Rattus norvegicus: one gene and its partners. The protein of the gene in region 1 purifies or fractionates together with the protein of each later gene. This does not show direct contact. Links are inferred from orthologs where the notes say so. Each region holds a gene or a part of one and is shown on either strand. Other genes may lie near its edges. The genes, in order: Arpc1a, Actr2, Actr3, Arpc3, Actr3b, Arpc2 and Arpc4.

Evidence for each region.
Region 2: the proteins of Arpc1a (region 1) and Actr2 purify together in Homo sapiens (affinity purification with mass spectrometry; 9 studies listed by BioGRID and IntAct, counting the BioPlex papers as one, with this or other methods). This does not show direct contact. The link is inferred for Rattus norvegicus from reciprocal best matches to the Homo sapiens genes ARPC1A and ACTR2.
Region 3: the proteins of Arpc1a (region 1) and Actr3 purify together in Homo sapiens (affinity purification with mass spectrometry; 7 studies listed by BioGRID and IntAct, counting the BioPlex papers as one, with this or other methods). This does not show direct contact. The link is inferred for Rattus norvegicus from reciprocal best matches to the Homo sapiens genes ARPC1A and ACTR3.
Region 4: the proteins of Arpc1a (region 1) and Arpc3 purify together in Homo sapiens (affinity purification with mass spectrometry; 8 studies listed by BioGRID and IntAct, counting the BioPlex papers as one, with this or other methods). This does not show direct contact. The link is inferred for Rattus norvegicus from reciprocal best matches to the Homo sapiens genes ARPC1A and ARPC3.
Region 5: the proteins of Arpc1a (region 1) and Actr3b purify together in Homo sapiens (affinity purification with mass spectrometry; 5 studies listed by BioGRID and IntAct, counting the BioPlex papers as one, with this or other methods). This does not show direct contact. The link is inferred for Rattus norvegicus from reciprocal best matches to the Homo sapiens genes ARPC1A and ACTR3B.
Region 6: the proteins of Arpc1a (region 1) and Arpc2 purify together in Homo sapiens (affinity purification with mass spectrometry; 8 studies listed by BioGRID and IntAct, counting the BioPlex papers as one, with this or other methods). This does not show direct contact. The link is inferred for Rattus norvegicus from reciprocal best matches to the Homo sapiens genes ARPC1A and ARPC2.
Region 7: the proteins of Arpc1a (region 1) and Arpc4 fractionate together in Homo sapiens (co-fractionation; 7 studies listed by BioGRID and IntAct, with this or other methods). This does not show direct contact. The link is inferred for Rattus norvegicus from reciprocal best matches to the Homo sapiens genes ARPC1A and ARPC4.

The regions. Positions count from the first base shown.
Region 1 is NC_086030.1:14,636,253-14,640,384, forward strand, and holds the start of Arpc1a (actin-related protein 2/3 complex subunit 1A), read right to left. Parts: upstream 2,801-4,132; 5' UTR 2,682-2,800; intron 1-2,681. UniProt on the Homo sapiens protein: Probably functions as a component of the Arp2/3 complex which is involved in regulation of actin polymerization and together with an activating nucleation-promoting factor (NPF) mediates the formation of branched actin networks.
Region 2 is NC_086032.1:98,504,093-98,507,592, reverse strand, and holds part of Actr2 (actin-related protein 2), read left to right. Parts: intron 1-3,029; coding exon 3,030-3,162; intron 3,163-3,500. UniProt on the Homo sapiens protein: ATP-binding component of the Arp2/3 complex, a multiprotein complex that mediates actin polymerization upon stimulation by nucleation-promoting factor (NPF).
Region 3 is NC_086031.1:39,369,010-39,372,509, reverse strand, and holds part of Actr3 (actin-related protein 3), read left to right. Parts: intron 1-1,362; coding exon 1,363-1,458; intron 1,459-2,744; coding exon 2,745-2,852; intron 2,853-3,500. UniProt on the Homo sapiens protein: ATP-binding component of the Arp2/3 complex, a multiprotein complex that mediates actin polymerization upon stimulation by nucleation-promoting factor (NPF).
Region 4 is NC_086030.1:39,840,937-39,844,436, forward strand, and holds part of Arpc3 (actin-related protein 2/3 complex subunit 3), read right to left. Parts: intron 2,772-3,500; coding exon 2,672-2,771; intron 2,041-2,671; exon of another isoform or gene 1,898-2,040; intron 1-1,897. UniProt on the Homo sapiens protein: Component of the Arp2/3 complex, a multiprotein complex that mediates actin polymerization upon stimulation by nucleation-promoting factor (NPF).
Region 5 is NC_086022.1:10,086,563-10,090,566, forward strand, and holds the start of Actr3b (actin-related protein 3B), read right to left. Parts: upstream 2,801-4,004; 5' UTR 2,738-2,800; coding exon 2,694-2,737; intron 1-2,693. UniProt on the Homo sapiens protein: Plays a role in the organization of the actin cytoskeleton.
Region 6 is NC_086027.1:83,268,902-83,272,934, forward strand, and holds the start of Arpc2 (actin-related protein 2/3 complex subunit 2), read left to right. Parts: upstream 1-1,357; coding exon 1,358-1,431; intron 1,432-4,033. Other genes in the region: uncharacterized protein LOC103690558, read right to left, coding at 613-700, 779-1,259, 1,317-1,359. UniProt on the Homo sapiens protein: Actin-binding component of the Arp2/3 complex, a multiprotein complex that mediates actin polymerization upon stimulation by nucleation-promoting factor (NPF).
Region 7 is NC_086022.1:148,076,560-148,080,698, forward strand, and holds the start of Arpc4 (actin-related protein 2/3 complex subunit 4), read left to right. Parts: upstream 1-1,339; 5' UTR 1,340-1,369; coding exon 1,370-1,372; intron 1,373-3,909; coding exon 3,910-4,028; intron 4,029-4,139. Other genes in the region: Tada3 (transcriptional adapter 3), read right to left, coding at 69-74. UniProt on the Homo sapiens protein: Actin-binding component of the Arp2/3 complex, a multiprotein complex that mediates actin polymerization upon stimulation by nucleation-promoting factor (NPF).

The DNA of each region.
Region 1 (4,132 bases):
GCAACCACACACATGGCAACACACACATGGCAACCACACACATGGCAGTCACATACAGACACACACATGGCAACCACACACATGGCAACCACACACATGGCAACCACACACATGGCAACGTACACACACAGATAAACCTTAAAAGAATGGATTGTTACAAATATTACTAACTGTGAACAATGCAGCTTAGACCCCAAAGCTGATGGACTTGCTTTTTAAGGGAACAAAGCTGGTTTGTAAGCTAGTGCCTTGGTTATCCACATGCAAAGAGGACACCTAGTTCATGAAGAGCTGAGAGTCACACCTCCAGATAGACTTCTCATTCTCTCACTCGGGGTTTCTAAGGACGCACTTCCTAAAGAACAGCAGAATTACTTCTACAACTGCATTTCTAATTTTGTTCTTTCAGTCAAGTCTTATAATTGAACATACATTCAGACATGTCCTTCCTTTATAGTCATTTGGCTATTTTAAGCCACAATTTTGTACCAAGCAAAACGAACCTTTATTCATATGGTGATAATTTAAAATCACTAAACAGCAGGTGATATTTAAGCAGTGTTTGAAAATCTTAACAAGGCTCAAAAGGAGAAAGGGGAACACTCTAGGTGATTATGTGAACAATAAGTTTTCTGGGCACTCAGGAGGCAGAGGCAGAAGGATCTCTGTGAGTTCCAGGCCAACCAGGACTATATACAATTAAGAATCTGTCTCAAACATAACCAACGACCAAAAACCCAGGCTTCTGTTGCCGCTGTCCAGCACTGAGGGATGAAAAGGACTGAAAAAGAGGTGACTCCATGGGCTCCTACTCTCTTCGGTTTTCACTTAGCACAGTCTTTTCTTCCTGCCCTGCTGGGGAGCCAACCCGCACACTATGCACACCAGGGCAAGGGCTCCACCAACTCAGCCACGTTCCCAGCCTTCGAGTGGAGTCATTTTACTATCTGGTTAGCCATGGCATCTGGAGACAAGGGGACCTGAGTTTGAATCTTCGTTTTAACACATACATCATGAGACGCTGGGACGTTTTTCATTTCATCTCCAAATGACATTACAAGACAACTGTCAGGAAGGTTAAGTGAGATAGCACATAAAAGCACCCCAGACCGGACCCCAATAAGTTAGTTTTCTGTAAGTCTAGCCTTTAATGGCAGAGCCATCTTGCAAGCCCAGTAAATTAGTCTCTGGCACAAAGCTTTGGACCAGCCCTAGAAGGATCCTCTGAACTTGGACACGTCTACCTATGTTGATGTCTTGGCTCCATTCCACTAGAACTTGACAAATTCATGTTAAGTTAGAACTTCCATTCCCTGTTAGGGTCATTTTCAAATCTGTGATTCATCTAGTTACTAATTGCTCTCGTTACCCAACCCAGCGATACCAACAAGAGCTCCAACAAGGTTACCACACCCTACCAATGCTTCATTCTAAATTCCAGCTTCATCAGACCATCTCCACACTTCCTATAGAGAACTTATTTTGACCTAACGCTAGATAATTTAGATCAAAACACTGCCACCCATCCTCCATAGGAGTCTGCAATTTCCAGAAGGATCCCCCAGTTGTGACAGAAGATGAACTGAAGAAGCCCCACGCCCCCAGACAGCACCCCGAACTGATAACTTCTAGAGATCTGAAATCCTAAGGCCTACATGGAAACCAAAAGATTACGTGACACTGATAAGATAGGATGCCAAACTAGGTCATTTCAGAAAACTGGGCAAGGAGGAGATAGGAGCCTCCCAAGTCGCACCACGACAACAGATGGTTTTATACTCAGAGATTCTAAGGTGCAATTTATTAAGTGCTTCCCAAGTTCCCAACAATGTTAAGTATCTGAATGGGGCCAGAAACATAAATAAAACCTAGTCCTCAAGTCCTTCTCCGGAGGAAAGAGCAGAAAGGAAATGAAGGCACTAGTAACGGCTGTTACTTATTTTAGATCAGCTACTCTGGGTTAGGAATTACTGTAAGCAACTCAAGCAAATGAACTCCACATGAACCCAATAAAACCAAGCGGACTAAGAATCTTCTTACTGCAGCTGGGGAAACTGAGGCATCAAGAAACAACCTTTCCAGAGACACCTGACAAATGGCAGAGTCAAATGGGAACTCCGGCGGTTCTACATAAAGGACCCTATGAATCGGAATGAAGAGGAGAGTACAACTTTGACTTGGGGCGGGGGCTGGAGCAAAGGAATCTTAAGGCTACTCGAAAGATGGGTTTTCTCTTGCTGGGGAGGGTTCCCCAATAACTGATGGATCGGAGGCTGCTCTAGGCAACATCCTAGACGTTGAAGAGATGAACAAGCCATCGTGACAAGCCATCGGGGGAGATCGGCCCGTCTAAACTAATTTTACAGATTGTGGTAAACGCTCACAGTAGGGGTGCAAATGGAACTGTGGGGGTGTCGGAGGCCAAGCTGTTCCTTCTCCCATCCGAGACGGAGGGCAGCTGGAAAGTGCTCAGGAACGCTCGGTCTGTGTCTGTGTGTGTTGGGGGGTAGGGTGGAGGTGGGGATCAGGGACTCAGGGGTAACCACGAAGAACGGAGATCCCGGCCCCCTCAACTCAAGACCCCGCGCCTAACCGACCTGGGCCCGCCGCCCCCGCGTGCCATAGAACATACAAGAAATGGAGGCGACCCGGACCAGACTCTCGGCCCTGCAGCTCCTTACCTGGGGTAGGGGAGGTCGGGAGGTCCGGAGCGAACGATTCGCGGACTCTGGTCAGTCGACGCGAACAGGCTCCGGCGGGCGCGGACGGAGGAGGGAGGCCTAGAGGGAGCGGCTGACAGATCCCGGAAGTGGTCAGGGCGCCTGCGCAGAGCAGCCTCTTTCGGCTGCCCGCCGGGCGCAGGCGCAGAACATAGCCCTCTTTGGGGTGCTCTGTCTGAATGGCTGCGGTTGCTCAGATGAGGCAGCCGCTAGTCAGCGCTAGGGCGTGCTTATGGAACTGGATAGGAGTCCTGCTCCTTTCTTTAAAGAGACTTAAGCACACACACACACACACACACACACACACACACACACACACACACACTCCTGAGCCATGGCCCAAGTGTGCAGTGTCATAAAGTGTGCAGTCTCAAGTGTTTTTTTGTCATAAATCACTGAGACAGGCTCTCTCAGGCTTCCTGGTTCTGAAGAACAATTCCAAAAATTTAAAAAATATTCATGTGGATGTCTGTGTTGGTATGTGCATGTGAGTGCAGGTGCCCCGGAGGCTAGAAGAGAACAACAGATCCTCTTGGAGCTAGAACCGTAAGCTACCCCATGTGGTACCTGAACTCAGGTCCTTGGCAAGAACAGCACAGTCTTTTAAACTGAGCTATCTAGCCAGCCCTTGCAACTAGGTTTGTGTTCTTTCCCTTGCAACTACGTATGCACCTTCGTAGAGGGTGGGTCAGGATTGGTAGGTAGACTACTTTCTGCCTGGAGGGCTGTCCGTGCCTTGCACCCTCAGTAGAAAGTCTCATGTCTACCCAAGAGTGCCTTTGACCGCTCCTAGATCAGGAGCACTTGTTTCTACACCCACAGTGACACTGCAAGGAGGTGCAGTGGAAATATGGGAAGAGTGTTTGCTATGTAGATGCAATTTCTTTTTTTTTATTTTTTTTCAGAGCTGGGGACCGAACCCAGGGCCTTGCACTTGCTAGGCAAGCACTCTACCACTGAGCTAAATCCCCAACCCCTTTGGTGAACTTTTATAGTTGCAGGACAAGAGAAAGCCATAAGTCAGTACATATAGCGAAGTTATAGGGAACATCAGGTAGGAGGGCTATAGCAAGAAGAGTCAATCTTTCTTAGGTTTCAAACTAGGTTAGAGTACTCTTAGCTTTAGGGTTGGTGGAAGCTAGGGGTCTGCTCATGCACAGCAGGGGCTTTACACACGTCTGAGAATGTTAGGCTAAGTGTAAAAATAAAGATCATGGCTGGAGGGGTTGGGGATTTAGCTCAGCGGTAGAGCACTTGCCTAGCGAGCGCAAGGCCCTGGGTTCGGTCCCCAGCTCTGAAAAAAAGAAAAAAGAAAAAAGAAAAAAAAAAAAAAAAAGATCATGGCTGGGGATGTAGCTCAGTTGACAGTGCTTACCTAACATCATCCACAACCTTAGCTCCCCAGCCCTGTA
Region 2 (3,500 bases), on another chromosome or scaffold:
AACTTGCACTTTAGACCAGGCTGGCCTCAAACTCAGTGCTTTTCAGATATACAGTATCTTTTCAAATGGAATCTGTGTTGTGTGATAGGACTCCTATCTAACTGAAATTGCATATCTTTTGATTAGCACCTCCTCGATTCAGTCACCAGCTCAGTGTCCCTGGTAACCATCATTCTGTTCTCTGCTGCTGAATTCACTGTCAGACTTGGCCTGGCTTCATCTAACACAATTTATTCCAGGCCTGTCTTCATCGCTACAAATCATAAGGTTTCCTTTTTTTAAGAGAGAATGATGTTTTACTGTGTCTATCATTTCTTTATTCCTTGAGATATGTATCTAGTGGTGGATTGCTGAATTGTTTGATAGCTCCATCTTTAGTTTTGGGGAGTGTTTCTATACTGTTTTCTGTAATGGTGACCATAATTTATGTCAGGGTTCCTTAAACTTTTCACTTATGACACCCCTATGTTAGTCAGGATTCTCTAGAGTAACAAAACGTATAGAATGAATATGTATGTATATATTCATGAATATGCATATATTCACATACACAAACACACACACAGGATTTATTAGAACAACTTATAAGCTGTGGTTTAGCTAATCGAACAGTGGCTGCCTTCTAGTTCAGGAATCCAGTCCACGAGGTTGGATGTCCTGACAGGTTTTCAGGATCAGCTGAAATCTCAAAGATGTAGGCTCCAATGCCAGTGAAGGAATGGACTTGTTAGTGAGGGGAGAGCAAGCAGGCAAAGAGGGCAGCCTCCTCCTTCCATGCTCTTATATAGACTTCGAGCAGACAGGGTGTGGCCCACACTAAAGGTGAGTCTTCCCATCTAAAAGATCTGGATTAGAAATAGGTCTTCCAATTTCAAATTAAGAAAAGACCCCTCACAGATGTACCCCACTGTGTTTGGGGTTTAGTTAATTCTTGATGTAGTCAAGTTGACAACCAAGAATAGCTATCATATACACCCTTTGAGGAAAGGAGTCGATTTCACTATATAGCCTTGGATGGCCTGAAACTCGCTATGTAGACCAGGATGACCTCTCTTAAGAGATCTACCTGGGGGGGGGGCTGGGGATTTAGCTCAGTGGTAGAGCCCTTGCCTAGGAAGCGCAAGGCCCTGGGTTCAGTCCCCAGCTCCGGAAAAAAAAAAAAAAAAGAGATCCACCTGGTTCTGTCTTCCAAGTGCTGGAAATAAAGGCATATACCACTTTACCTGGCTATGAACACTTTTTAGCTGAAAAATTTTTACATAATTCTCAGCATAGGCAAATATTTACTGATAATCATGAAGATATATATATATATTATATGTATTAAAAATGAAAACAAATTCCATACTAATGAAATGAATGGGTTTATTTGGTTTTACATAAAGAATTAAGTCTTGGGGATAGAGAAATGACTCAGTGGTTACCAGTGTTTGCTGCTCTTGCAGAGGACCCAGATTTGATTTCTATACCCACATGATAGCTTACCACAATCTGTAACTCCAGTACCAGAGAATCTGGAACACTCTTCTGACCTTATTAGGCACCAGGCACACATGACGTACACAATAATGCAAGAAAAACACATTAAATAAAAATAAATCTTTTTTAAAAATAATTAAATCTTAAACTGGATATGGTGGTTCACACCTATTTAAGGCCAACCATAGCTATATAGAAGTCAGTCCTGGACAGCATGAGACCTTGTATCAGAAGGAAGAAAGGGAGAACTCTTGGGTTGGGATGTAGCTTAGTGGTAGAGCACTGGCCTTGTGTGTATAAGACCTAGATTTTGGTTTTCAGACTTGTCCACACACACCAAAAGAAGAAATCTTGGCTGAATATTTGATAGTCCAGTTGAAGACTCTAACTGTTTTTAGTTGGTCAGTGTTTTGATTTTCTAATTGTTAGTGCTAGCCAGATTCGGTGGCAAATGTCTTTAATCCTTGCACTTGGGAGACAGATCTGAGTTTGAGGCCAGCACAGCCTACATAGCAAGTTTCAGGCCACCTAAGTCTGGATAGTGAGATCCTGTCTCAAAACACAACAGAGATGAGGCCCTCTCAGGCAGAATACTTAGCCAGCGTGTGTGAGCCACTAGCCTCAAACCTCAGTGCTGCAAAAAACAGCTGAACAAAATGGCACAAATATGTTTTAGGCCGTTTCAGAAATTATTGGAGACTCTGGGCTAATCTCAAGTCAGAATTCACATAAGGATTTTTTTTTTTAATGAAACTCAAAAATTAGGAATTCAAATATTAGTTTTTTACTTTTTTTTTGAGACAGGGTTTGTCTGTGTAGCCTTGGCTATCCTGAAACTCACTATGGAGACCAGGCTGGCCTCTGTCTCTCAAGTGCTGGTTAAAAATGTATTGATTTCATACTCACTGTGCCGAGAGTCGATGGTAGAAAAATGTCTTTGTTCACTCTCATGTTTTCGTAAGAGCAGAAAGCTGTACGTACCAGCTTTCTAACATGCCACAGTCTTGGGTGAGCTCAGGGGCGGCATGGCATGGCTGCATGAACACCGCACAGAGGACTGTGTTCAGAACGAGGCCACAGAGACGTTGCATGAGGAAATGTGGGCAGGCATGCCACGGACGCACACCGCTGACCCATTGCATGTTTGTGTTTGCGTTGTTTTGGCCGTTGCGCAGTAGAGAGCCTTCTGCTGCTCTGAAGTCTCCCCCAACATTCAGTTCCGTGTGCAGCTCAGGGCAGAGCGTGTGCTTTGTTGTTGGTTATCTGTTGGGCAGGCGTTTATTGCCATTTAATTTATGTGATAGGTGGTGTCGAGCTGATTTTCCTCCCTCCATGTCGTGGTACTTCTAATTTAGCAGAGACTTGAACTTCCGATCTTCCTTTCTCCACTTTGTAGACATCTGGCGTGTGTGGTGCTGCTGTGGAGCCCAGGACTTTGTGCTTCCTGGGCAAGTGCTCTGCTAAGCCTCATCTGCAGCCCAAAATTAAAAAAAGAAAAAATAGAGTACCATTTTCATAATCTGAAACTAAACACCCACTCTGTCTCCTAGATCTGAATTTTACAAGCACATTGTGCTTTCTGGAGGTTCTACCATGTATCCTGGCCTGCCATCGAGGTTGGAACGAGAGCTTAAACAGCTTTACCTAGAACGAGTTCTGAAAGGAGATGTGGAGAAACTTTCGGTAAGTATCTTTTAAAGCCCTGTAAAGTAGCCTTTGGATCTTGACAACCACTAGAGGGAGCCAGAGGTCTTCTAACAGATTTCTGTGCAGTTAGCCTCTTGAAGACTTACAGGGCTCACCGGAAACTGTTCCTACCTACGAGGTTACCACTGTGTTGAAGGAATACAGGTGACTGAGTCCAGTGTCCTTGGTAATCTGTAGTGAGCAGCCTGGGCTCTTTTTTTTTAAGATTTTTTATTTTATGTTTGAGTACACTGTAGCTATCGTCAGACACACCAGAAGAGAACATTGGGTTCCATTACAGATGGCTGTGAGCCACCATGTGGTTACTGGCAATT
Region 3 (3,500 bases), on another chromosome or scaffold:
CATTTCAGTATAAGTACATTTAGCATAACAGTTTTGACATGCATTGGTTTATCCATCTGTTAATGCATTTTGGTTTTGAATCACATCAAAATAAGCTATGTACAGATGAGAATCAATTCATGCTTAAACACTTAGTATGTCCATCATCGAATAGTTCATTATTGGTTTATATTCTTTTTCATATAAAGTTTTTATAAAAATGACAAAGCTAAATCATCTGTGGATTTTGATCAGATGTGACAAAAGAAAAAGGGCCAGAGACTGGTAGGTAGGTAGGTAGGTAATAGGTAGGTAGATCTGATAGATAGTTTAGCTAGCTAGACAGACAGACAGGTGAACTGATGGCCAGATGGATACTGAATAAGCCAAATGAGAGTTTAACGAGTTCTGTTACAGCCGTCCAGCTCCACTGTAGAGTGAGAACAGCCACAGACCATACGTAATGGACTGAATGATATAGATGTGTCCCTCTGAAGTAGTTTTTCAGAATTAGGTGATTGGCCCCCCTTTAGTTTTGATAGTTGTAGATGTTTAAATAACACATTATCAATACCTTTTCTAGTTAATTTATGCTTCTCATTCTTTAGAGGCAACCAGTGTTTCATTCTATTTTAACTTTTCTTAACAAATGAGATTAATCTTGCCTATAGTTGGTTTTACACAGATGAATTCATACAAGATGTGCTATAGTAAAACTTACGTCATGCAGTCTGTCTCTTTGAACATTCTTGTCCTTGTAGACAATTAATTTCATCCCGTTTGTGGACTTGCTCTGTTGTAGGGCAGACACTTAACTGGTATAGAGCTGTGGCCTAGGGTGACTCTTCACCCAACATTTTAATTGAATTGCACCTGCATTCTAGCCAGTTAATCTTTTTTAATTTTAGTCATTATGGCTCTTGATTTGGTCCTAATTTGCCTTTTCCTGGTGACTTGTAATGATATTGAACACTTCAGTTTTTTAATTGAAAATAAAATTATAATATGTTCTGATTACAGTTCCCCTTCCCCACTGCCTCGCAGATCTTCCCGACTTTCCCACGTAAATCCATACCCTTTTGTTTCTATCTCATTAGAATACAAACAAGCATCTAAAGACATAAACAAGCCAGCATGGGACAAAACAAACAGGGAACAAAAAACAAAAAGAGAAGGAGCATACAGACACTGAGAACATGTTACTTTCATATATGTGTTGGTCTGTTTCTACTCTGTACAGTTTTCCTATAGTCTTTGTGTCTCTCTCTACCTATAAATTTAGTGCCTTATAAATTATTTTATAGATTACTTCTCCTTTAGAAATTACCTATAAAGTTTGAAATGATTTAATATTGTCTATGTAAAATATCATTCATTCAATAGACTGAACCTCCACTGAATACTCCAGAAAACAGGGAATATACTGCTGAGATAATGTTTGAGTCCTTCAATGTTCCAGGCCTGTACATTGCTGTGCAGGTAAGTGACTTATGCTTATTTAAGCTTGACGTGAACATTTCATCCAGGATTAATTTTCTCCTGAACCGTGCATATCTTTTCCCAGAAACCTTTACCATAATTCAAATCATACCACGCTTTCTTAAAGTGAAAATTTAGACACAGTAGTGCTGTGCTTGGCCTGACTTCCTCAGTGCTTCTCATTCACTTGCTTATATCTGCTCCTTTCTTTGGTGTGCAGTAGTCAATAAGATTTCTGTAGCCCAGTATATTAATATATGCATATTCTAGTTTGGGATCTAATTGTTTATTATTTTGTAGAAAATGATCACAAAACAGGATTTACCAAAAAAGTATATTTCAAAATGAAATCTCAAAATTTTTCTCTTTTTTCTTCTAACATTATGTGAAACTGTTCATTGTAAAACCTTTAAAAAATACTGTGTGGTGATAAACAGTCATTGTATTATTAAAATGATGTTTTTGTTGTTATTGTTAAAATAGAGTGAGGAGCCATGGCCTCAATCTCAGGAGTCTGAAGCCAAATGATTGTTGGGAGATTTGTTTGTTTGTTTTTGGTTTTTAATGGAGGATGGTGAACTAAATACCTTTTGGTTCCTTTCAGTATTACATTGTAAGTGGGCAAAGTTAGTTTGATCATTTGTTTTTAGTTACTACTCATATATTTTGATTTTAAGAAATTACCTTTTTTAAAAAATGATAATTCAGTTTATAAAAGTTACCCCCATCCCCACCCCCCCCCCACCCCCTGGAAAGAATTGTTTTGTATTAGCCTTGATGAGATTCTTGGTAGGAAAAATGGTGTTGTGTGTTACTGGTTTTCTAGATAACTCAGGCTGTCTGGAAGTGCATGTGGCCTTTTTAGTTAAGTACTCGTATATGGACGGTGCTAAGTGCAGATAGCATTCAGAAACTTTTGAGTTTGAATTTTTAAGAGTAATGCTTGCTGGCTCATGAAGAGTAGAGCTTGGTAGTTTGTGGTAGTCTGGGTAGTGGTATTTAAGTTTGGAGAAGGTATTGGTGTGCTTGTTACATACATGTTTGTGTCACTCTTGTTGTTGTTTTTTTGTTTTTTTCCGGAGCTGAGGATGTTTGTGTCACTCTTGCTTGTGGCTCTAGGAAGAGAGTGTTCCTTTTAAACACTGAACTTTCTAAGTATCCTGATGCAAGGATATTAAGGGGCCCATAAATTGCAGAAAGTATGTAATGTCATTACAGGTTACTTCTGTAGACTTTCACCCCTAGTAACTCTTTAAAAGTTTATTTTGGTCTGTCTTACCTTTTAGGCTGTTCTTGCCTTAGCTGCATCCTGGACCTCAAGACAAGTAGGAGAGCGGACACTGACGGGTACAGTAATAGACAGTGGAGACGGAGTCACTCATGTCATTCCTGTGGTAAGTAAAAAAATTGCTAAAGAAAATGTGAAATAGTACACCTGGGGGTAAATGGTAGGAACTTGTGAGATCTTTACAAGACTCGAGGCTGTTTCTGGGCTATAATCATGGGCTGCATGAGGATCTGGAGGGTCTTAAGAACATCAACAGTGCTAAAAGGAGGCAAATGGCAGCTCCTTAGCAGGCTGTGCCCCAAAGTCATAGTTCCATTTGTAACTGATAAAGGTCCCAGAGCTGAGAACAGGGTTCTGGACCTCACGCAGTACATGTGGCACAATCAAGCCCAGATTTGACTTCACTTAAAGACCTAAAAAAGTAGCAGAGTAATCTGTGCTGATGGTCTCAGCTGGCATCATGGCTCATGTAGGGAAGAAGATGAGGACACACAGGCAGGAAAGTTCTTAGTGAGCACATGGCAGCTTCCAAGTATGGTGCACATTACATCTGTCAGCTACAGGCTTTCTGTGTGAATAGTTTGCCTATCCAGCAACCTCACAGAAATGGAATGATATACTCTGTTCTTTGTGACAGGCTGTGTTCACTTAGACTTAGGTTTCTGAAATTATTTATTATAGCACGTATGCTTCTTTATATTACCAAGTCCTAGTTTACTGGGTGGGTATATCACCTTTTGTTTAGGCTTTGGGT
Region 4 (3,500 bases), about 25 Mb from region 1:
AAGTTACCTCAGGAACTGAATGGGGAATCCAGAGTACAGCTGAGGGCGGAGTGGACATTGCACCCTGATGACTGCAAACACTTAACAACAGGTGGTAAAAGTGGGTAACCCCAAAATTCTCAGACCAGACTGGGAAACAAAGCTGTGATCTGCTGGAGGCAGAGGCAGGCAGTATTTCTGTGGTTTGAGGGCAACCTGGTCTACAGTATGAGTTCTAGGACAGTGAGGACTATACAGAGAAACTCTGTCTTAAAACACACATACACAGGGTTGGGGATTTAGCTCAGTGGTAGAGCGCTTGCCTAGCAAGCGCAAGGCCCTGAGTTCGGTTCCCAGCTCTGAAAAAAAGAAAAGAAACACACACACACAACCAAAATGGACCAGTAAACAGACACTTTTCAAACTAAAACATGAATGGCCAGTAACTATCTTGAAAAGTGTTCAACACCTCTGGTCTCAGGGGTACACAATTTAAATGCTCTGAGTGAGACACTACCTCACCATAGCCAGAAGCCGATCATTAGGAACTCTGACACCATGAGGTGCAGTGGCCAGCCATGGCAACACAGCAAGACCTTGTCTTTAAAAAACAACAAAGTTGGGGCTCGAGACCCCATATGAACAACAATGCCAACCAACCAGAGCTTCCAGGGACTAAGCCACTATACATGGACTGACCCTGGGCTCCAACCTCATAGGTAGCAATGAATAGCCTAGTGAGAGCACCAGTGGAAGGGGAAGCCCTTGGTCCTGCCAAGACTGAACCCCCAGTGAACATGATTGTTGGGAGGAGGGCGGTAATGGGGGGAGGATGGGGAGGGGAACACCCATATAGAAGGGGAGAGGGAGGGGCTAGGGGGATGTTGGCCCAGAAACTGGGAAATGGAATAACAATCGAAATATAAATAAGAAATACTCAAGTTAATAAAGATAAAAAAAAGAAAACAAACAAACAAACAAACAAAAAAACCAAAGTTATGGGCTGGAGAGATGGCTCAGTGGTTAAGGGCACTGACTGCTTTTCAGAGGACCTGGGTTCTGTTCCCAGCACCCACATGGTGGCTCACAACCATCTGTAATGAGATCTGATGCCCTCTTCTGGTGTGTCTGAAAATAGCAACAGTGTACTCATATAAATAAAACAAATAAGAGGGGTTGGGGATTTAGCTCAGTGGTAGAGCGCTTGCCTACGGAGCGCAAGGCCCTGGGTTCGGTCCCCAGCTCCGGAAAAAAGAACCAAAAAAAAAAAAAAAAAAAAACCAAAAAAAAAAACAAACAAACAAACAAAAAAAAAAAACAATAAAAAAAAACACAAATAAGTCTTAAAGGAAAAAAAAAAAAAGACTGAAGTACGGAAGCACACGCCTGTTACCCCAGACCCGGGGAAGAAGGCAGGAAGGGAGCACACGCCTGTTACCCCAGACCCGGGGAAGAAGGCAGCAGGAGCACCACAACTGAGGCTGGCTTGTTTGACCTCCAGGCCCACCAGGGTTTCAGAGAGAGATTTTTCTTCTCACATATCCAAGCAAGGCTTAAATAACACTGGGGTATGGTAAGAAACTGACAGAGGGCTGCAGAGATGGCTCAGTGGGTAAGAGGGCTTGCAGAGAAAGCTTGATCACCTGAGTTCGAATCCCCAGGACTCAGTGTAAAGTCAGACGTGGTTTAGTGATTTATGGTTTATTATCCTCTCACCTCCAGTTGTGGGCGGTGGCTCACATGGGCCCTCACATACAAATCAGAATGAAAAGAAAATGACTACTTTTTTGTTTTTAAAGTTGACCAAAGAAATAATAGCTTTGGTGGAGAAAGGTTCATTTTCCTTCCATTTTTTGTAAATTTTATTTATTATTATTATTATTATTATTATTATTATTATTATTATTATTATTTTTATATATGTGGGCAGCCAAAGGAAGGCAAAGGAAACAAGTATTCCCTGTTCACCAGAGACCTTGGGCATGCCTGGCTTTCTTCCAAGTTGCTACGTCCCTGAAAAGGGCACACAGTCAGCCCTTTGGAGAGGGAATCACCTTGGACTTCCTTCCATTTTTGGAGACAGGTTTCGCCCTTGCTTAGGCAGGTCTTGAACTACCAGACTCCAACCACCTCCTACCTCAGCCTCCTAGGTACTGCCCGTGCCCACGTAACGCTGTCTGTTGCTTATTTTGTCCAGCATGGTGACAGAAGAAGGCTGGGGACCTGCCATTCAGCCAGTCTGAAATGACTGACAGTGCCTGTGGGGACTGTGGCCAGAATTCAACACATTTCCTCTTTTTTTTTTTTTTTTTTTTTTTTTTGAGACAGAGTTTCAAGTAGCCCAAGTTGGCCTAGAACTTGCTGAGAATGACTTTGAACTTCTGATCTTCCTGCCGCCTCCTCCCAAGTGCTAGGATTATAGGTGTGCGCCCCAACACCTGGCTCTCAGTGTACCGTAGATGGGACCCAGGCTCTCCTCCATGCCAAGCAAGGTCTCTACCAACCCGGCCACATTTCCTTTAAGCTCACGCAAACATCCTAGGTTTTGAGAAAGCAGCTTCCTGTGGCGTGGGTAACTGTGATGCCGCCCCGTAGAGTGTAACAGGAAGCTGAGTACACGTGAATCAAGCTAAGCTCGTTCTCAAGTCAGCAGGTCTGTCTTGACCCCGAACAAAAGGACAGCGAGACTTACTCTCTCGAGGGGCGGGTCCTTTGAACTGGCTTCGGATGGGCAGCAGTGCCATGTTGCCAATGAGCTTGGTGTCAGGGTCCATGAGAGAAGAGTGGTAAGCCTGCGGAAGGAAGCCAGCAGGGGAGAAAGAACAAGTGTCACTAGGAGACAAGGCTAGTCCTCCAAAGGAAAACACCCTCAGGACCAACTGTGGGAGGAGAGGGCTGGTGGCAGCTACAGAGAGACAGCTCCTGACTCAAGAGAACAGACTGGTGGATTCTGAGACGTTCTGTCAGCTGGTTAGTGAGCACAGCCGTTCCCTAGACATTCACTGCAGAGACCACACAAAACAGGCTTCCCACCCGCCAGCTAGCCAGGACCCAAGCCCTAGTTTTGAAATCTGCCACTTCCTGCCTTATGACCACAACATGACTCTTCCTTGAACTTGTTTCCCCACCCCCAGCCCCTTCAACCACAACACGTAGCCCAGGCTGGTGGTCTCTCACTCTCACTCACTATGTAGGTGAGGATGACTTTGAACACCTTTAAAATTTATTTTATTTATATGAGTACACCTTAGCTATCTTCAGACACACCAGAAGAGGGCATCAGATCTCATTACGGATGGTTGTAAGCTGCCATGTAGTTGCTGGGATTTGAACTCAGGACCTCTGGAAGAGCAGTCAGTGCTCTTAACCACTGAGCCATCTCTCCAGCACCAACTTTGAACTTCTACCTCCCCTGCCCAATGCTGGGATGACGGGCCTAGATAACCACAGAACTGGCGACTAAACCAGGGCTTCAGGCACCCTAGGCAACTGCTTGCTCTACCAACTAAGCTCTACTCAGG
Region 5 (4,004 bases), on another chromosome or scaffold:
GCAGAGGGAACAGCAGTGCTGCACACATGTTAACTTCTCTGACGAGTCTGGGATTATATAAATCCTTGCTCTCACTCAGAAAGTAGGCACTGAAATCTAGGAGGGTAATGCCAACAACCTTCTTTTAAGCAGCTCAGAAAAGTAAGAGCACATTCAGGAGTCTTGGGTGGCATGACGTTCAAAGCCGCTGAACCTGGAAGAATAGATTTGCTCTCTCCCAGTTCTCAGTAAGCTTGGAATCACTTCAAAGATGGTTTAACTGTGTAAAACTACCTTAAACGTTTGGGTGAGATGTGAGACAGGGTTTGTGGTGTTTTCTCTGGGAGCTCAGCAGCCTTTAAATAGTTGAGACTTAATTTTGGGCCTCACAGATACCTTCGTCTGTTTCTCTCTTGTCCCCAGCATGCCTGTGTCCACTCAGCTAGCTTGGCAGCTCATCAGACTCGAGGTCACAAAAGAAATGTATTTCCTATAAAACACAGGCCAGATGAGCATGCTAGCTCACACCCGTAATCCTAACGCTTAGGAGGCTGAGGCAGGAGGATTTCTTCAAGTCCAGTTCAAGCTTGGGTTATACAATGAGAAGACTCTATTTAAGAGAAAGACAGAGACAGTAAGACAGAGAAACAGAGAGGGCACACAGACGGACAAGACTGGACCTCAGGGTGCAATTCAGTGGCAGAGGCTTCCCTTACCAATATCGCTGGGTTTGACGCCTATCACCATCAAAACAACACAACACAATGCAAAACAAAAATCTGTCCACTTATTTCATCAGCAGTGCCCACGTGATCTCTCAAGTCTATTCTGTTCCTCAGCCCTTGCTATTTTTAGCTGCACTGTTCTATTCTGAGGTATAACTTGGTCCAAAATGAGATCTCCCAAGTCTATTCTGTCCCCCAGCCCCTGCTATTTTCAGCTGTATCTTACATTTAGTTCTATTCTGAGGTAAAAACTCAATCCAAAATAAATACAAGAATTACTAATACATGGAAGCTGGCACGTTTAGGCTATGCAGCCTTCCTTCTGCTCACACACTGAGCACTAGGAAGTCATGATAACCACAGGGGCTTCAATGGCAGAAAACACCCCATAGGAACCCCAGGTCCCTGGCACTGTGTCCAGAGCCTATGACAGCCCACAGATGACACCCTGAGGCACCCAGGGCCATGATGATCCACTGGAGGTGACAGCAGCATTAATCACTGACCCCAAAAGGTCAAAACTGAGCATGCTTTAGATATTTATAGCAAGAACAATGAGTAAGATCTCAGCTTACTAATAAGAAATAAAACACAGTTTATAAACCCGGGGAGAACTGTTTTGCTGTACCACTGCACAATGCTTCGTATTTCAGCAACCAAAAATCTCACCCGCAGACGTTAAAACAAACAACTTTTACATATTGCCTTCACTGCTGACACTACCAGACTGAAGGGAGTACCAGTTAGGGTGAGACTGTAAGGGGAGCCAGCACATACAGAGTGGGCTGGGAGAGCCCTACTGCTTTGAGCATGTCTGGAAGTAAGCAACTTCTCAAATACAGGGCAACAAAACTTCTCTAGAACGTGTATTTCCAAAAGAAGAATTAGCACAAATAAAGGATGTTTTTCCAGTCTGCATCACTGCTGGTTCCCGAGTACCAAAAGGAAAGACACATCAGTAGGAGATGGACTGTAACAAATTAGAAGACACCCCCACAAGGTTGTCAAGGAAACCAAACCAAGTATATTTTTCTACAGGAAAGAATAGCAAGAGAACATGCCACAGACTATTTGGTGACAAAGGACTACAATCCCTTGAAAAACATTTTAAGAGGCTAAATTTATTTGCAGGCTATTTATGAAGTACTTTGTCGGCAATGCCAGCAGGTATTCCCAAACCCCCAGGTTGGAGGGCTTGGTTGCCACCTTCCTAAAATTAGCTAAGCCTGACAGCATAAGCCACGCTTAAGGTCTCCTCTGAAAAAAAAAAATCAACGTCTTCCAAAAAGAAAAGAGCTATCTACCTCCCAAAAAAGAAGACTTTTTATTCAAAATGTTAGTCTTTTTTAAATGCATCGGTCAGTGTGTGTGTGTGTGTGTGTGTGTGTGTGTGTGTGTGTGTGTGTGTGTAAAGCAAAGATGAGTGCATGCAAACCAAAGCAGGGGCTGGGCTTGGCTGTGCCATTCAGAGTGGAAAAGAGCAGAGTGGGAAGGGGGACAGGGTGTCAAGTTGACAAGGCACGTGTAAACATCTCCACAAGTAGGTGCTTGGTACATCAGAAGAGAAAGGTAAAACGCCCATGAGTGCAAAGTATGAAGACAGGTGACAAGCACCATGGGGGTGGGGGGGAGCAGTCGTGGGGGGAAGGGGGCCGGACCCTGAGCTCTCAGGTGCAAGACCTGCAGCGAAAGCATCTGCAGCAACATCCCCACGAGGTGCTGCCCACCCGGCAACCCCGCAGCCCCATGCCCTCAGCACCCCATCTTCTCAGAGCCCCATCCCTTAGCTCTCTATGCCCTCAGATTGAGCTCCGTCCCCACAGTTCCCCACCCCACCCCTAGACTGAGCCCTATCCCTCAAACTCCCCAAACCCTCAGACTGAGCTCTGTCCCTCAGCGCTTCGTCCCTCCGCGCTCCTCCAGCGGTCTGACCCCGCGGGGAAATGGCTTCAGGACGCCCAGCGAAGCGTGAGTGGGCGCGGCTCTTACCCGGTGCCGCAGTCAACCACGCAGGGAGGCAGCGAGCCCGCCATGCTCGTCCACGAGGCGCTCGGTCCCCACCAGCCCCAGCGTGCACCGGGGACCCAGAGCCTAGCTGCCAGGTCGCTGCCCGCGCCGCTCCCCACCCAGGAGCGGCCGGGAACCCAGAGGCTCCGCCTCGTGACGTCACTCTACAGTTGGCCAATCGGGGACGCGCACGCTCCGCCCCCTTGTCAGCCATCCTTACTGCTGGCAGCTAGGCTTTTTAGCCTCTGCATCCATCCTGCAGTGGAAGAGATTGGAGTCTATTTTTAACAAGCATAAGATGACTATGACCCCATTTGCGAGGCCTGAATTCTTTCTCTTCTCTCTTTTTTTCAAATCGTAATTTTGTTTTGTTTTGTTTTCGAAGCAGGGTTTCTATGTGTAGCCCTTACTGTCCTGGAACTTGTTCTGTAGACCAGGCTAGCCCCACTTGTCTCTGCCTCGGTAATGCTGGGATCAAAGGTGTGCACCACCACTCTCGGCTTATCTAGTTGCAACTTTTTTGATATCATTGGGTGTGTGTCTGTCTGTTGGTAGGTGCATGTATGTAAGAGCAGGTGCTCTTGGAAGCCAGAGGCTTGGGATCCCCTGCAGCTGAAGTTATAGACAGCAGTGAGTGGGCACCAGGAGTCCGAACTGGGTCCTCTGGAAGCTCAGCAAGTGCTCTTAATAGCTGAGCCATCTCTCTAGCCCCGCTTTCTCTTCTCTTAATTCTCACTTCGGTGTTCCCTTCATTCTCTACCCCAACAACCTCCTGATTTTGTTTCTAACCTTTAAAGCTAGTTTGGGTACTTATTTATAGATAAGCACCTCTGCTGAACTAGGTCTCCTAGGACAGGGCCTCATGCTTAACACCTTTAGCGCTCTGATAGTAATCACCTGAATGTTGAATGAATGAGTAACCTTCACTGTAGAAAAAAATACTGACGACTTTCTATGATAGAACATTGCATAAATGTATCCTGGGAGAAAATCAACAAATGTATAATTAGTCTTAAGGAATAAATGCTGTGTGTTTAGCATCATTTGCTCCATGTATATTATTATATTGATCATGCTTTAACAGTGTGTCAAGTCGACATGACCTAGAACACTTAGGTTAAGTCAATACCACACCAACAGAACTAGGAAATATTTCCAATATGAAAGATAGGGTGATCACCCAGCATCGTTGAGGAAACCAAGACTAAAGAAGGAAACTGCCTACCTACCGGAAATCCCACTTGTGCCCTACACATTAGCCTCTAAAGTTCTTGACTGATGCCTGAGGAACTT
Region 6 (4,033 bases), on another chromosome or scaffold:
TTTCGGAGCTGGGGACCAAACCCAGGGCCTTGCGCTTGCTAGGCAAGCGCTCTACCACTAAGCTAAGTCCCCAACCCCGATTTATTTCTTTCATATATATGAGTACACTGTAGCTGTCTTCAGACACCCCAGAAGAGGGCAGGGGATTCCATTATAGATGGTTGTGAGCCACCATGTGGTTGTGGGAATCGAACTCAGGACCTCTGGAAGAGCAGTCAGTACACGTAACTCTGAGTCATCACTCCAGCCCCTACCTGCACACTTAAAACAAATATTCCCACTATCAAACCAAAAAAAAAAAAAAAGTTCATTGCATAGAGAAGGGGCTTAATTAAAATTGTTCCTGGAAGAGAGAAAAATGGAAACATGGTACCCACGCAGAAAGGACAGTGGAGCACAGTGATAGAAAATTCTAACTGTAGCAGAGTTACTGGACCATGAGGATCACCTGAGGTGCACTTAAGCAAAGAAATGAAGGTGTGACAGGAATCCCGGAAGGCCCATCTGGATTCCTGTTAACTTTCTTGACTACTCATTCCTTTCCTTTATTGCCCAGTAACAATGTGTAGTTCATTGAGAATTTATTGTGTCTCCTTTATCAGACCATAAGCTTTAGGAGGGTAAGTCGTCATATTGCATTACACGATGCCCACTAAACAGTCGCTGGCAAAGAAAGGCACGAAGGTGCTGCAGGGTAGCCCTAAGTAAAGAGCATCCACAAGTTAGAAGCAAGAAGTTCCCCCAAAACAAGCTTCTTACGGGGTTTCAGAAATAATACCGGAAGGGTGGAATCGGGCCTCTGGAATATTCGGGAAAGGCGCAGGTGGATTGTAGTAAGGACAACAGGGAATGACAGGTGAGCGTTGGACTCAACTGGTCAGGAGAGGCGGGGCGGCGTGCCGCGCATGCGCACGCATGCCCTCTGCTTGCCTCCTTACCGGGACGCGCTTGCGGGCGTGTGCACGCTCGAGGTCGAAGCGGAAATGGCGCCGCGGGGCCGCGCGTCCGGGCGGCGAGCGGAAGTGGGTGTGAGAGCGGAAGTGGCCGGCTGGAGCCGGGGGCTGGGCGGGGACCGGGATCGTCGGTAAGGCGGCGGCGGAGGCGGCGGCGGCTCGGCAGGCGGGTTGAAGCTTCGGGGGCCAGGTCGGTCGGGTGGTGGCTGCCTCTACGGGCAGCGCGTGCCGGGCCAGCGCGTGTGTCCGCCTCTCCCCACCCCGCTCCCCGTCCCCTTCTCCCCTCACCTACCGCACCCAGCCCCCCTCGTCAGGGGCAGCGGGGCCGCTCCCTCAGTCCTACCCTCGCTTGCCCACCCTCACCGCCCTTGTTTCTCCTTCCCCTGCTCGGGGCAGCCGCCGCCATGATCCTGCTGGAGGTGAACAACCGCATCATCGAGGAGACGCTCGCGCTCAAGTTCGAGAACGCGGCCGCCGGGTAAGCGCACACTGGGAGGAGGCCGAGTTGACCCTAGCTAAATCCCGGGTGGCGTCCAGCTCCCCAGCCCTAGAGGGAAGAGGTCGGGAACCTGGCGCGGCTTCAGGGTTTCCTTAGCAGGATGGACGTGGGAAGCCACGGGGCGCGGTAAGCCGAAGGCCTAAGATGCGTGGGGAGAGGCTGAGACAGGGATGCGGAAGCAACGAGAGGGCAGGAGCAAGGCGTGCCAGAGAACAGACGACCTGTGGGACGTGAGGGCAGCCGAGGCCAGAAGTCACGTCCGAGAGCCTACTGTCCTAAGGGGGAAAGAGAGGGCCCCACTTTCCTCTATATTTACCGTCATTGTTCCGAACCCAGAAAGACCCTTTTGGGGAAGCTGGATTGAATGGAGTTTTTAGGAATTCCCAGGATGAGGTGGGAAGAACATGCAGGCCCAGATCGCCACCGGCATTCTGCTTCCCCACCCCCATCTCTCCCCCAGGAGAAGCAGGAGGCAAGACTGAAAGCAGACCCAGGCTTCTAGGAGGGAAAAAACCCTCTAACCTACTGCGAGAGACACTAGCCATTTTGTTACATATCTCTTAGGCAAAGCCAACAGTTCTCCATCCACTCTCTTTAGCTCTCAAGACAAGGTTGATTTGGTTGGGTGTCTTAAATTCTTATCCAAGACACCTGATCTTTGATTTCTAGTAATGCCCGCTGGGTTAATAGCTGCCTCTCCCAGAATCTATAAAGTTCTTAAGATAATTATTTATTAACATCAGCATCTTAATATGGGACGTATTTCAACCCTTCTCTGTCAAACACAAAAAAGCAAACTCCTCCCTTAAAGCTGCTTTGCCTCCCTAATGTATTTAAAACCTGAGCAGAGGTTTTAGGTTCTAATTTATGGTGGCCTGTGGCCACTCCTTTGCCTCATTTCCTCATTGGTGAGGATGGGGCTTCACATTTTGGTTTCACAGTTAGGAGGTAAGTGCAGACTGTTTCTGTGAACGGGGAACTGGAAATAGGAAAGTGCTTGCAGATCCACAGAAAGGAGAGGATTGGAAGGGGGGATTCATTCATTCTCCTCTTTAATTCTAAGCATTTATAATGAATGTGTGGTTCGCTGACACTGAAAGCATGGAATACATTGCCTGTTCTGTCTCTTTTGTAAGGCTCCACGTTTTATCTGCAAACAAAATAGGACAGTCCTTGAATTGGTGCGTTCAGTGAACATAGTTTCCTGCCCTGAGTGCCGTTGAGCACATGCTGCCTATTCACTCGCTCTTATTCACCTTGTTTGCATTTTGAGTTTTGGAATTAGTCGACACACCGGGGCTTATTGTAGGTGATGGGGTGTGTGCTTTTTTTTTTTTTTAATTAGTGTGGCACAAATGAGGAAGTTAAGATAACTTCTGCATTTTCACAACTGATCTTAATACATACATTCTCAAGTCTTGACTAGCAAAGAATGAGTCCTGGGTGGTTATAAGCGGATCTACAAGATAAATGGCTGCGTGTGTTCAAGTGGAGGCATGCCTTTAAATGGAGGAGGACTTTCATAGTTATTTATTTGTTAATAACTTGATTCTAAAATGTGACCCACTATTCAGAACCTTATGTAGCCCTTTTACTTTTAGAAAACTCTCCTTAAAGTTCTGTGGTCGGTGATGTATGCCTGTAGTCCAGGCACATTCAACTGTAACCCCAGCTTTCAGGGGCTCATATGAGCGAGACAGGAACAGCAAAAGTTCCAGGCCCTAATGAAACCTTGTATTTAAAAAAAAAAAAAAAAAAAAAAAGGCCAGGCCAAACTAGGTGTGATGTGCTTGTAATCTCAGTTCTTAGGCCATCCTGGCCTACCTTGTTGCAGAAAGATTAAAATAGAGTTTTAAATTTGGAGGGCATAAGTTAGAATTTCTGGTTTGTTTTTTGTTTTGTTTTGTTTTTTTGGATAAGGATGCTCACTGTAGCCAGGTTTAATGTCTGAGGCAGTAGTATGTTTTGTCTTATTTAGTTCATCCTTGGGATATGTGGCTTAACAAATATGCTCAAAACATTGTGTTTAAAAAAACTTTGAGAATCTTTGAGAAGAGACTGTGAAGGGCTGGGGTTTCCTGAGATTGCCTGTTTCTGCAGGGTGTGGTGGTACTCTCCCATAACCCTAGCACTCCTATAACCCTGGCAGCAGGGCCAACACAGGTTCCAGGCCAGCCAGGGATTATTTAGTGAGACTCTGTCTCAAAAGAAAAGAAAAGCCAACCTCTAAGCAAGTGTGCTCCAGTCTGCCTGTCAAGATGAGGCAGCACTGAAGTGGTTACTGAGGCCACGCGTACACCACTGCTGTCTTCTGCAAGGATGGGTCTCATCGGAGCTCAATGCCAGGCAGCAGTTGAAAGAACAGGGAGCCTTTTGAAGACAACCTGTTAGCAAAGTTAGGGAGGAACTGATGGACAAGCTCTGTTGGGAGAGGATAGAAAGCTTAAAGAAAAGGAGTAGCCCAGAGAGACTGTGCAGAGTGAAAGGCTGTGCAGGGTAGAAACCTGGGAGAGCTCAGCTCCACACTGCTCTCTGCACTTCTCAGAACAGATTAATAGGGAAATTCTGTTCATGGTAGCCT
Region 7 (4,139 bases), on another chromosome or scaffold:
GTTGTACAGGCAGGTCTTGAACTTATGATCCACCTGCTTCAGCCTCCCAAGTCTCTAGGTGTACAAACCTGCATGATTAGGCCGGCCTCCTAGTTGCAATTTGAACCACTGTAGTCTCGAATCTGCAGCATTAAGGGAGAGGGGATACTAGTGTGCTCTGCCTTCCTATGTCCTCTGTTTCCTATACTGGGCCATTTCTATCTAACGGGGTTCTCCCGGCCTCTCCTTGCCTCACTCCATTCCACCTTTGCACCTTCTCTATGTCTCTAACTAGTTTGGAACACAGGCTGGTTAGGCAGACAGAACTAAGTTCCAGCCATTTTCTTATGTGCCTTTCTAAACATGTTATTTAACCTGAATCTCCGTTTTGGTTTTTGGGTTTGTTTTTTTTTCCAGGACAAAAGATGATGCCTCAGTCTATTTCCCCATTAAAAAGTAGGAATCTGTAAAATGGGGGCATCGAGAGTACCTACCTCCCTGGAATGTTCTGAGGATTAAGAAGTGATGCTCGTCAAGTGCCCAGCTCAGTGCCTGGCACAGAAGTGGGACTGCTTAATGGCTGGCTCCACCTGTGTGTCGCCCCAAGATCCCGCCTCCAGGGTCCTTGTCCTCTAGGGAGCCCCTAACACAACCCCCGCCTCTCCTACCTCCTCTCTGCGGCCTCCTACAGGCCCCGGGCCGCAGGAGGGGGCGGGGAGTCCAGGGCGATCGGAGCAACTGCTCCGGAACTGGCTATGGGCGGGCCCCCTGCAGTTGACGCGAGGGCGGGGACACGGCCAGCCCACAGTGACCTGTAGGGGTGGGGGCTGGGGGGGGTCTAAGGCCACCTACGAATCTCCGGGAAGTGGAATGCTAGGCCTGAGGAGACCGGGGCTAGGAAGCAGCCCGGGGCTGGGGCGGGGCTCTGAGCTCAAATCTCAAGGGACTGGCTACCCGGCCGAACCCTAGGGTTGCTAATGGGAGGAGCCCGGAGAGGATAGGGGAGCACCACCGGAAGAAACGTCGGGCTTCTCCGGTTCGGCCTGTCCTAATTTGGTGCCCAACCTGAGGTCGGGCCATACTATTGTCACACGGGGGGAGGCTACAACCAAAGCGCCAAGCGCTAAAGGCGCTGGAGGGATACGTGTGGGGACCCAAGGGGCCTCGACTGCTGTTATGTCACTGCAGATCTTCTACAAGTCCCAGCGGTCCCAGCGTGAAATCGCCTCAGAGATCTGAACATCCTTCGGCTCTTCTTCCCTGGTCCTGCCCGAGATGGTCCAGCCCGGAAGTGCTGTCGGGGACTGCGGCTGCGCCTCTCTGGAAAGGGCAGGCGTCCCGGGGCCGGGCACTTCCGCACTTCCGCTTTCCGGCCCAGACAGCGCCCGCGATGGTGAGAGACCAGGGGCTGGGGGCCTCCCTGTGTTTTGCCTGGAGAGGCTGTGGGTCTGGGGAAGATGCTGCTTGCTGCTAGGGCTTGCGACTGGAGGTTGCCCTGGGATGAGGGGGCACAGTGAGGATGGAGAGGCAAAGGGTGGGGCGAGGACCGAGGCGAGGAGGAAGGGGCGAGCTGGGAGGCTCTCCCAGGGCAGAGCAGGCCCAGAGGCTTCCAGGTTGGGAATCCCGGGCAAGAATGGCCTCTCTCCGAAGTTTGGAGGAGGCAGGAGACGGGACTGCTAGGCCTGTGGTGGTGGCTTGCAGTTGAGGTAGTAGGACCGCTGAGGAATGCAACGGGACCTCCTCTCCCTCCACGGTAGAGATTCGCTAAGTACAGCCCCCTGTCCCCGCCTGTCTCATGGTACCTCAAAGCAAGTGTCCACTTCACCTTATTACCTTCTCGGCCTTCCTGGAAGCCTTGCCTTTCAGCCCCCAGTGAAGGTTCTGTGTCGCCTCCATGCAGACTCCTTCCTGGGTGTTCAGTACCGTGTTGACCTTAACGTGTGTAAATTTTGATAGCCGCTGGTCCTTCCCTTCCAGGGGATGCTCGGCTCTGGTATCTGTGGGTGTTCCGTGCAGTTGTTCCCTGCAAGTTCCGTCTCTACCTACTGCTGTCCCTGGTCAGCTTTAATGACCTGAGTTCTGAAGGCTGGGCTGCTTGTCGCGCTCCTGTGAATACTGTCAAGGGAGAGACTTCGAGATTAGACCCTCTTTTTCAAAAGTCGTCTACTTTTCTAAGCTTGTTCCTGTGTCCTAGGTCCTAACTGGTTTCATTCCTCAGTGTGAAAGCTGTTTTCCTTCTGTCTAGCTGAGGAGCTAGCTTTGTGTGTTTTTAAGCATTCAAGTTTATTGTACGACTTCTTCAAGCCACTAAAGGGTAAATAGTGCAGGTTGGCCATCTAAAATTTGGATTTCTTTCAATGAACTTTGACAAGGTAATCATGTAGCCACAATCGAGGTAAAGAACAGTCTATCACTTTTCCGACGGTGCTTGCCACCCCACACAACTAATTTTGCCTTTCCAGCTTTGCCTCTTCTTGGTTGACATATAAGTAGGATTCTGTAGGGTGTCGCTAGAAGCCACTGCTGAGCTACATGACCGTTGGTTTTTAGCCCTTCTCCCCTCTGTCTGATGTGTGTCTGCCCCTGTGATTGCTGTGCTTGTCTCTGCTGCCGCACAGAGCTTATACTCTGTGCCTCTTCTCTGCCACAAGTCTCACTTCCCTCTCCATTCCATTCTCCAGAGAGCCTCCGTGTAGCTGTAGTCCTGTGACTTCCTCCTCAGAAAGTCCCAATGCTTCCCGCTACATTGAGAGAGAAACTCAGTGGAAAGCATTCTAGACTGTCTAGGGTTTTATCCCAGCCCACCACTGCAGCCTGCTTGCTCCGTGTGATTGAAAGCAGTTCTCACACACAGAAACCTTCACTCGTTACCACTTGGGAAGTCTTAATGCTCTTTTGTGTAAATCCAGCCCTGCTTAGGTTAGTTCATTTACACTACAGAAAATTTGTATGACACTATGTATAGGAAGGAGGTACTGAGCTGGTTACAACCTGCATGACTGAATTAAAGTTAACGTCTGTAGACCGTGAGAGTTACAAACTAGTAAAGGAAATCTTATTTGACAAACTACATGGCATTCTGTTGTGAATTATATGTAAAGTGAACATACCATAACCTATAACAAATGCATTGCGGGGGAAGTCCACAAGGCCATTTTGAGGAAGGAAGAGGCCTTCTCTACTGAGCTGATCTCTGAGAGACTGACCTAAGTAAGGAGGAGGAAAGCCTGAAGATGATGCCTCTCGGCATGTGATAGGCCCTGAGGGGAGAGAAAACTTGACCGAGACAATGCAGCTGGCCATTATAGCTGACCTCATCCACTCTGCTGAGAATGTCTGGGTTCTACTTTTTCTCATTGTAAAATCATCCTGATCTGTATGTGGTGAAAAACAATTTCTTTAGACAGTATAGACTATTTTTAAGCCTAGTTAATTTTATACTTGGCCCTCAGTCAGCCCTTGTGATCCTCACCCAGTTGAGCTGTTTGAGGGTAGAGGTGATCTGACTGAATTCCCAGCACATTCAGGGCATGGGTTGATACTTCTGTCAATGTAATAAGCAGATAGAGACGTGGATCCTTCTAGATCGGTATTACTTAGCTTTGGCACTGATAATGCTGCGTAATTCTGTTCTGCATGCCAGGATATTGGGCAGCATGCTTTGCCTGTGTCCACTTATATCTATAGTACCCCTGTCTCCAGGTCAAGACAGTCAACTTTTTCTTCAAACTTTGTGAATTGCTAAGCCAAATTATTGACTGCTGGGAACTGCTGCTCTAGATCTTGATTGGACTGCATCTTGAAGTCTGGGTATAATCTGTTCTGTGTGACAGCCATGCCTGAAGTCATCAGTAGCTTCAGTGGAGGGGCTGACTTTGTTTTGATGAGGCAGATTCTGATCCTTCCTCTGTCTTGACTTTATTCCTGCAGACTGCCACTCTCCGCCCCTACCTTAGTGCCGTGCGGGCCACACTGCAGGCCGCCCTCTGCCTGGAGAACTTCTCTTCCCAGGTCGTGGAACGACACAACAAGCCAGAGGTTGAAGTCAGGTAGGGAAGGAGGTCAGAGTGGGCTGAGGAGAACAGCTCCCAAGAACAAACCCTGTCCAAAGGGGGCAGAAATCCATGCTCTTGGATTGTCAGGATACCTTAAGTAACATT